Drosophila melanogaster: one gene and its partner. Changing the gene in region 1 together with any one later gene gives a genetic interaction. Each region holds a gene or a part of one and is shown in the gene's direction. Other genes may lie near its edges.

Evidence for each region. A genetic interaction does not mean that the proteins touch.
Region 2: of grp (region 1) and RacGAP84C, changing one enhances a phenotype caused by changing the other (phenotypic enhancement), as found in Drosophila melanogaster (one study listed by BioGRID).

Annotation. Positions count from the first base shown.
Region 1 is NT_033779.5:16,678,336-16,683,066, forward strand, and holds the start of grp (grapes), read left to right. Parts: upstream 1-1,718; 5' UTR 1,719-1,941; intron 1,942-2,114; exon of another isoform or gene 2,115-2,315; intron 2,316-2,370; exon of another isoform or gene 2,371-2,383; coding exon of another isoform or gene 2,384-3,109; exon of another isoform or gene 3,110-3,318; intron 3,319-3,483; exon of another isoform or gene 3,484-3,563; coding exon of another isoform or gene 3,564-4,031; exon of another isoform or gene 4,032-4,067; intron 4,068-4,167; exon of another isoform or gene 4,168-4,283; coding exon of another isoform or gene 4,284-4,731. Other genes in the region: her (hermaphrodite), read left to right, coding at 1-246, 308-640; squ (squash), read left to right, coding at 2,384-3,109; CG31807 (uncharacterized protein), read right to left, coding at 3,564-4,031; CG33552 (uncharacterized protein), read left to right, coding at 4,284-4,731. UniProt on the Drosophila melanogaster protein: Serine/threonine-protein kinase which is required for checkpoint-mediated cell cycle arrest and activation of DNA repair in response to the presence of DNA damage or unreplicated DNA.
Region 2 is NT_033777.3:7,283,965-7,288,181, forward strand, and holds RacGAP84C (Rac GTPase activating protein at 84C), read left to right. Parts: upstream 1-1,997; 5' UTR 1,998-2,140; coding exon 2,141-2,460; intron 2,461-2,596; coding exon 2,597-3,404; coding exon of another isoform or gene 3,405-3,428; exon of another isoform or gene 3,429-3,487; intron 3,488-3,524; coding exon 3,525-3,551; 3' UTR 3,552-3,665; downstream 3,666-4,217.

The DNA of each region.
Region 1 (4,731 bases):
CAGTTGCGATGGTTCCAGTCAATAGATCCACCGCCGGGAGCTCCAACAAAATTGGAGCTGCCCATAAAGAGCACTTCAATTTCTGTCCAGCAGCAAATGGACGAATTAGACGATGAGTTGGCCATGTCCCTTGCCGAAGAAGATCAGCAGGATGAGTTTCTTGTGCCAATGCTGAGCGGAGAGGAACCAGTTAAAATAAAACAATCATCGCTGACCGATCTGGCTTGGAGTTGGAGTACGCCGGATGTAAGAAAGAACTATAAACGAAAAAAACGAACTTTTCCTAACAATGTTTTTATCACTAAAGGCTGTACATCACATAAGTCCCAAAGCGGAACTCAAGAAGGACCTTAAAGCTGGCGATGCAGATACAGATTTTCCAGATTGGTGGGATGATGGCAAGTACACAAAGATGCAAAAGAACCAAACATTTGCAAAGCACTCAAAGAAGCCGTCGCAGGAGAATGTGCAACGCATCCTGCGCATCATCTATGACATTTACTACAAACCCTTCAAGGAAGATCGCAAGCAGTTCGAGGCATTTCAAATTAAGGACTCCTGGCTGTGCGCGACTCGAATGACTCGCATGCAGATAATCAAGGACATGTACTCTAAACAGGGCACGTTAAGTCAAACTTGATGATAAAAAATGTATCATCCCTTTGGTATTTGTATAAGAATACCATTAAGTTGTTTACTATTTAAAGTGTAAAGTAAACGAATTAAGAAAATCCCAAGTACTTTAAAACTAGTTAATTAACCTTTAATTTAAGCCCAAAAACAAGTATAGGAGTAGTTTAAAAAAGAAAGAATACTATAGTCGAGATCCCCGACTATCATATAACCGTTACTCAGCTAGTGTGAATGCGAACGCGAAATTTAATCCTCTGGGATATTAATAAATATTGTATAATGTGAAAAAATTTAAAAAAAATTCAAACGTGTGGGCGTGACCGGTTTGGCGGCTTTAGGGCGTTGGAATGGGCGTGGCAAAAAGTTTTTTGGCAAATCGATAGAAATTTAAGCGACTAATAAAATTATGAAAAATATCCAACAATTTTTTTTTTAAATATGGGCGTGTCAGTTTTGTGCGGTTTGTGGGCGTCGCAACATGGGTTCCGCTGCGTCTTTATCTCTAGAATATGTATGCTAAATCTCAACCTTCTAGCTTTTAAAGTTTCTGATATCTCGTCGTTCATACGGACAGACGGACATGACTAGATCGACTCGGCTATTGATTCTGATCAAGAATATATACTTATATATAAATATATACACTTTATATAGTCGGAAACGCTTTCTTCTGCATGTTACATACTTTTCAACGAATCTAGTATACCCTTTTACTCTACGAGTAACGAGTATATTTTAGGAATTGTGTTATTCAATAAATTGTGTGTTGAAAATGTCTACACTACGATCGATTATTGAAGAAAAAATAAATTCAATGAAAATTAAAAACAATTAGTCAATAATTATATATTATTTTAAATATGACTATTTATAGTACCGGATAATAATCATATTTAAAAAAGTGTATTTAATATTAACAGCTAAATACTGTAATGATTTTAAGCTAAATACAAATAAAATCAGCTAAATACTGAAATCACAAATTTATGTGCCTTGTGATTTTCGACGATCGATACTTGGGATCCGAAACGGATAACCATCGATATCAGCGATTTACTGGAGAAATCGATAGCTTGCACTGTGCATCCAGTTTTGCTCCAGCCCTATCGCAAACTAAAGTATATTTTAGCAGCGTTTGCGGAATTTTTTGCATTTCAGTTACTCCAAGTGTGAATAAGAGCACGGTCGCTGTTATAGTGTCTTGCAAAGCAGTGAATTAAAAAAGTTTAATAATCCAAATCGAGAATCCCAAATTTGTGTAGACGTAGCAACAACAGTAAAACGCGCTGGCCGGAAAAGACGCTGCTGGTGAGTTGGAATAGTGGTGCATAAATTAGGAATGTATATATGCTGATTCGTGGGGCATTACCCTTTGTTTATTTAATGACTTGCTTGCTGCACCCCGCTCCCCCTTCCTTAACCTTTTGTTTAACTTTTTGGCGCAATATTATTCACCTTGACCACGCACCGGTGTGCAAAAGATTCACCGCACACCGGTGCACTTAAATTCACCACAGCCTTAATAATTCTTACGGCATTTCCGTGCTCAATGGTGAATGGTCGCACTGAAACTATTCTTTGAAAATAACGGAGTAAACATTCAGTCTCAGATTCTGAGAACTTGTTGACAGTGTAGCTGTTCAATTGTTTTCATGGCGAGTTCTCGGAGTATTTTTTGTTAGGTGAGTTTTAGGTTATGTCTGATGTCAGAAAATTAACAAATAAATTTCGCCTAAGACAACGCACGATCATGGCATGGGTTCCCAATTCGCAGTTCGAGGATGATCTGGTCGACATGGAGCCGGATTTCAATTTTGTCCATGGTCAACTGGCCTACGACATGAAGAAGCAAGGGGAGTTTTGGCCGCGACCGAAATGCACATATGAATATCTGAAGTCCCGGGAAAAGAGGAATTCCGAGCTCGAAAATATCCATGGAAGCAGAGGCGGAACTGGTCGTGATATTCGGCAAAGCCTTCAGCTAATGGAGAACATACAGAAGATAGCAGGCACAAGGCCGCTGGGCGAGCACGCCACTATGAAAGATTGGGAGGATGAAAGCACAAATGAGCTAGAGGCGTTAGCCATGATGCGTCACTTCGGAATGATGTCCATGGCAACAGATTCGCTGCCCGTTCTGCCCGAAGTAAAACCACCAGAAGGACCCATTAAAATTATAAGAAACGGACGGAAACAATTTCCCCTCATCACAGACCCCGAATTTTTTAAACCACGCAAGATTCCCCGAACGAAGAATTCCAGTTCCAGTAGTTCGTATCATACTGCCAATAGTTCAATCAGTTCCTTCAGCCTTTATGAATCTGCCGCTTCAGATTTGGACAGCAGCAAGAAGCAGGGCGAGATCAAGGCGTCAAAGTCGGAGAAATACCTCGAAGTACCTTACAAACAGCTTGCGGAGAGTTACGACCAGGAAGTGGAATCACCAGTCCAATTTGGAAACCAATTCAATGAATGAAGGAGGAACCAACGGGGAATGCAATTATTAGAACCAAAAAATCAATCACTTTTTATATATAAGCTTCTGTAACATGTAAATAAACGGCTTAAACGTCGTTTAGAAAACCGAATTTATATTGGATGCAGTTCTACAAATAGAAAGAAAAATACTTGATATCATAGGGTAAACAAAATATTTATCTATTTTAATAAATTAAATGCGAAAGGAATGTTAGTGCTGTAGAATTCAATATATCCTTAAATGAATTTTTTTATATTAATTTATTGTTGCAAATGCATGTTTCCCAAACCATTTGGTAATTATTCAATTGTATCCCCTCCTAAATATGAAAAAATTGGAATATAGTCGGAAATATAATCGAGGTATTAAAATTTATGTTTATCGATTAAATCGATCGCGCTTATCAACGCACTATATTATAGCTAGAACATCGTATTTATAGAAAATAATTTTATGGCGTGTTTAATAACACACGCCAGACGTCTCTTTCAATAGCTACTTTGCGGCATATTGGGCACATATCGGCATGCTGCAAGTGGGTCCGGATGCACATCTCCCCAAAAAGGTGACCACATCTAAGCGAAACCAAGCGGTGATGATCCTTCGCTTCCCAAGGATCCAGGCATATGCAGCAAGTATTTTCGATGGCAATCTTCTCAAGCTGCTGTGTTAATTCGTCCTTGGACTCGAACAACAACTGCTCTTGCAATAATTTCTGATTGGTTATCTCTTCTTCCATTTGGTAATATAGCTTGAGTTCCTCCTCGCGCATTTTATCCTTCTCTTGAGTTGTAATATTTAGCTTCGCCAGTTGCTTGTCCTTTTGCTCACTTTTTTTCCTTTCCGCTAAGAGCTGCTCAACAACATCCTTCTTCAGCATCCTCATCAACGAGCGAGTCTGGGCTTTGTTATTGGGCATATTGTAAAGAAATTAAAATTACAAGGTGAACGAATTTTTTAGACAAGCACTTTTAGAACGAATGTCTTCTCAGTGAAGGTTTAAGCGTGGACTGCCTAGATTGAACAAAATTATTTTTTCTTGTAATCATTAGAATTAGTTGTGTGTTGCATTTTCCAACACAGCCAACATATTTACAGCTGTCAAAAAAAAAATCCATTTCAAAATAAAACTCGACTGTAATATTTGCGAATCGTTCACATCGAAAACGAGATGGATAAACAAGATATTACAAAGATGACCAAGAAAAAACTCATCGTTGAGGTCATTAAGCAGCGAAAACGGAACAAAGAAAAGGACGAAATCATCAAGGATAGTTTCGAGTCCAAAAAGCGTTTAATTGATCTGCGACTGCAACTGGACAAGGAGAAGAACATAACGAAGGAGTTGCGACTGAGGCTAGCGGCGCAGGACGCGATTGCGAATCAAGCGGAGAACCTGTCTATGAAACGAAAGAAGATCGCCGAAGAGAACAAGTGCTACATTTGCAAATGGAATTATGAGGTTACCGGAGACCATCGCCCAGTTTCAATTAAATGCGGTCACCTTTTTGGAGCGAATTGCATACTACATTACTTGCAGCGTAACAAGACATGCCCCATCTGCAAATCACAGATGATCCGCTGTATGGATGTTCGCATTATTATAGCAGGTCAAAATT
Region 2 (4,217 bases), on another chromosome or scaffold:
ATTGAAAAATACAATTTATTATAAATTGTTGTTTTTAGTGCCCAACTAGAATTGGGTTAGACAAAGCGACGATTGAGGCGGAATTCTTTAACAGGTTGTTTTGCGATTTATAGTTCAATTCACAAAAGGTCACTTAGTGAACTGATTTTTTGTCCTTAAAATCATATTGGTCATCTTATGTGTAGGCCAGCTTTTCAGAATTTGAATATCTAGTTTTATCCCACATACTGGTGGGTGTTAATATTTCTATTTCTATGTGGATATTTTAAGAGTGTTCCCTAGTAGCTAAATGATATACATCTGAGACTTTTAATTAATTAATTGCTGATTTCATGGTTTTAGTACAGAAAACCATGTGCTAAGATGTTTTTAAGCAACATCCTGAATCTATAACAATTGCGTTAAACTTTTTCATTCTGTTAAGAAGCTTTAAAGTTGAAATATTTTGAGCTCGATGCAACCAAATAATTCCTTAAATTTTGGAGGCACCGGATAAAAACATTTTGATCAACTTTTGTGTGTGAAAAATTAATTATCACCACGTGGCAACACTGTCAACGTGCTTTGATGCCATTTTTTCCCACTCGTTTTTGCCCAGAACTCCCCTCTTTTTTGTATGTTTTGTGGATGTCCAAACATTTTTTATGCTGTTTTGTTGTGTTTCTGTACTTTTTTTTTTTGCTTTTTGGAATACGCAACGGACAGACACACACATAGGGCCACACACGTATTTGAACACACACAGTCAGAGGCGAATCAGAAAAAGTACAAAAAAGCATTTTGGGAAAAGTGGAGTGAGGAGTGAGGCAGGGGATTGCATGGGCTTATTGCGATGCGTGACTCGTATTTGTGGACTTTGAATACAAACAAAACAGTCGGACACAGATAGAAGCCCACACAAGTGCAATTATGAATACTACGCCCACACACACGCCGCATAATCACAGAGAGAGACACTCTCACTCACTGCAATGTGTGCATTTCAATACGCATTAATAACTACGAATTCAATGTGGCAGTGGCAACCATCCTTAGTATTTCAGCCCAAAGCTCACACACACCTAAACCCACACCCTCAAATGCTCACGCACACATAGGCACACCGGCGTCAATGCAGCTGACGCCTAAAAAACGACTACAAAAAAGCATAAAAATCCAATTCCCCGCCTTGCTCGTTAATTTTGCTGGCGCTGCTCTTCAATTCACAGCCCAAAACTGAAAAGTGCCATGATAATTTTGTTTTTACTCTATCCAAACTTTAAAATCGCATAAAAATCAATGCCAATGATGCCATTAAATCAACAGACAGATCCATGTTTCGTTTTCCACAAAAGTTCCAAGCTCGAAGTCCCTTTAAATTCTAATTTTTGTGTTTTTTTAGCAGCACGTTTACTCAACATTTTCGCTTTCTGACGTTCCGGCCTCACATGAACTGCAGCATTTTTTCGTGCTACATTTTTGCTGGTTGCATTCTATGTCTGGTGGCCGCAAAACGGTTTTCCATGAATTTTTCATCCATTTAGCGGCGCCATTGAGCCATTTTCTGGGCGCTTAGAATTCATAGATACTTTAGCAAATTGTTTTTTTAGTTCGATTTTCTACATTCTTTTTGTTTTTAGGGATTTTTAGCTTTTGTATCGTGACATTGAATCTCGGTGTGATTGATTGTCTTTAACGATTTAATTGAATCGAAAATATAAAAAGATCACCACTGACTTGTTTATATGAAGAAGACAGGGCAAATATCTGTTATTGTTAGGCACAAAAAATGTTTATAATAATTTGATTCACTTTTTTTTTGTATTGAAAACAGCATTTTTGATATTTCTTAGTAACACCTTAGTCGCCCATTAAATTTCTGCGGAGCACCCTAGATGTGTGTATGAATTATCCAGAAATATTTACAAATGTACGACCCACAGTAGGCACTCTCTATGGGTGATCGAATTTTTGTGCTGCCAGAACTATTTAAGCTATCAGCTTTCACCCGATTCCAAATAAACCGTAAGAGTAAATAAACATTTCGGTCGAGTATTCGGAGAAGCGAGCCGATAACTTCTGCGTAGCTGACTCAAGCCGAAGTGGCCTCTCTTCGGAAATTGCCAACTGACCAGAACAGCTGAATCAATTCGCCAACTTTATGATTAGTGGCTCTGGGAGTCGGACGCCCTCAAATCGACTTTATTTGTCGCCCGTTCGCCCCACGATGCAGAACAAACGGAGGCTTCTGCGGGAGTACAGGTCCTACGATGACCTCAGCGAGCACTACCGCATGTTTGGATCGCAGTCCCTGGACTCGCTGCAGGATCGCGTGGACATGAATCCCAGTGGCTGCGATGGCTTATCCACGGACGGACTCGACTTCTGCTCGCAGTCCCACTCGGGGCTGCTGAGGGAGCACAATTTCAAGATTAAGTCCTACTACTACAACGTGGGGAACTGCGTACACTGCCGCAAAAGGTGAGTTGCAATCACCGAATGGTGGAACTTCTGAGAGGATTTCGAATTCAGGGAAAACATGAAAAGTTAAATAACATCCCAACCCTCTCTGACCAGCATTTACCTCCCTAACCGCGTGTCCCTGGTCTTCTTCCAGGATCCGCTTCGCCATGGCCAGCCTGAGGTGTCGGGCGTGTCCGCTCCGCTGCCACATCGGTTGCTGCCGCCAGCTGACGGTGAACTGCATCCCCCAGCCTCAAATCGGTACGAAGAGAGGATGTCTCAGCGATTATGCGCCTCGGGTGGCGCCCATGGTGCCGGCCTTAATTGTCCATTGTGTAACGGAGATCGAGGCGCGGGGATTGCAGCAGGAGGGACTCTACCGGGTGTCCTCCACCCGAGAGAAATGCAAACGACTGCGTCGGAAGCTGCTGCGTGGCAAGTCCACGCCGCATTTGGGCAATAAAGACACCCACACACTGTGCTGTTGTGTTAAGGACTTTCTTCGGCAGTTGGTTCACCCTCTGATTCCCATTTACCACCGAAGGGATTTCGAGGAGGCCACGCGGCACGAAGATCGTCTGGCTGTGGAGATGGCGGTATATTTAGCGGTTCTGGAGCTGCATCAGGCTCACAGGGATACGTTGGCCTACTTAATGCTTCACTGGCAGAAAATTGCCGAAAGTCCTGCTGTCCGCATGACGGTCAACAATCTTGCCGTGATCTTCGCTCCAACTCTGTTCGGAGATCTGGATCTAACCCTCGAAAATGTCGTCACTTGGCAGCGGGTGCTGAAGGTGCTACTTCTGATGCCTGCCGGATTTTGGTCTCAGTTCTTGGAGGTCCATCCCCTTCCCACTTCGTTGGGCAGCACCTATGACTTTGAGGACCGGTACAATCACCGTCACTGGGACAGCTCGTCCAATCTGGGATGGTCTTCTGTTAAGACCTACTTTAGATCAATGGTAAGACCTATGGTTTCCCTTTAACGGATTTGGATAGAATTTCATATTCGAATAAGCCAAACTCAATACAAGCAATCAAACATATCATACAAATCTTTCACTGAATACTTCCTGTTTCAGGTCAACCTTAGCAGTACTCACCTATAGTGAAAGTCTTATGACTGAGACATCGAGAATGGATGCAGTCACCCTTTTTTATTTTATTTTGTATTTTTTTTCATTATTCACTACAGTTGAAGAACTAATAATAATTGGATCTCTAACATGTTGTGTATGTGTTGTTGAATTATATGCGGCTAACAAGAGTACTTGACATCTCAAGTGCAATACTTGATTTATTGAATCACCAAAAGATACTCTCAGAAAACACCCATTATTTCCATATATGAAATTCGGCTAATTAAATATAAAGCCAGGCCAAAATCTTATTCGCACCACATAAATAATCTAGCATGGCCCAGAGCGACGTTATCGCAAAACTATATATTTCGAGTATTGAAACATTAATAAACATTTTTAATTGAATTTGCAATTTTTTTCGCCGAACGTTGATTAATTCCCAACCGTTGAAAACATGTAAAAAATTAATAATTTCCATTTCCCATATTTATGTTTCTTTGAAGCGTAAACCAAAGCACAAAGTAAAATATTTTGCCGCGAACACATATAAATAAGTTAAAGCGCCAAGAAAAAAGTTAGCATTTTAAAAACAATTTGGAGAGTGCCGTGCAAAAAAGTGCGGCCATTAAATGCAAAAAACAAGCAAAGCAAAACAAAACTCGAATGCACTGGACGAGTGCATAAATAGACTCA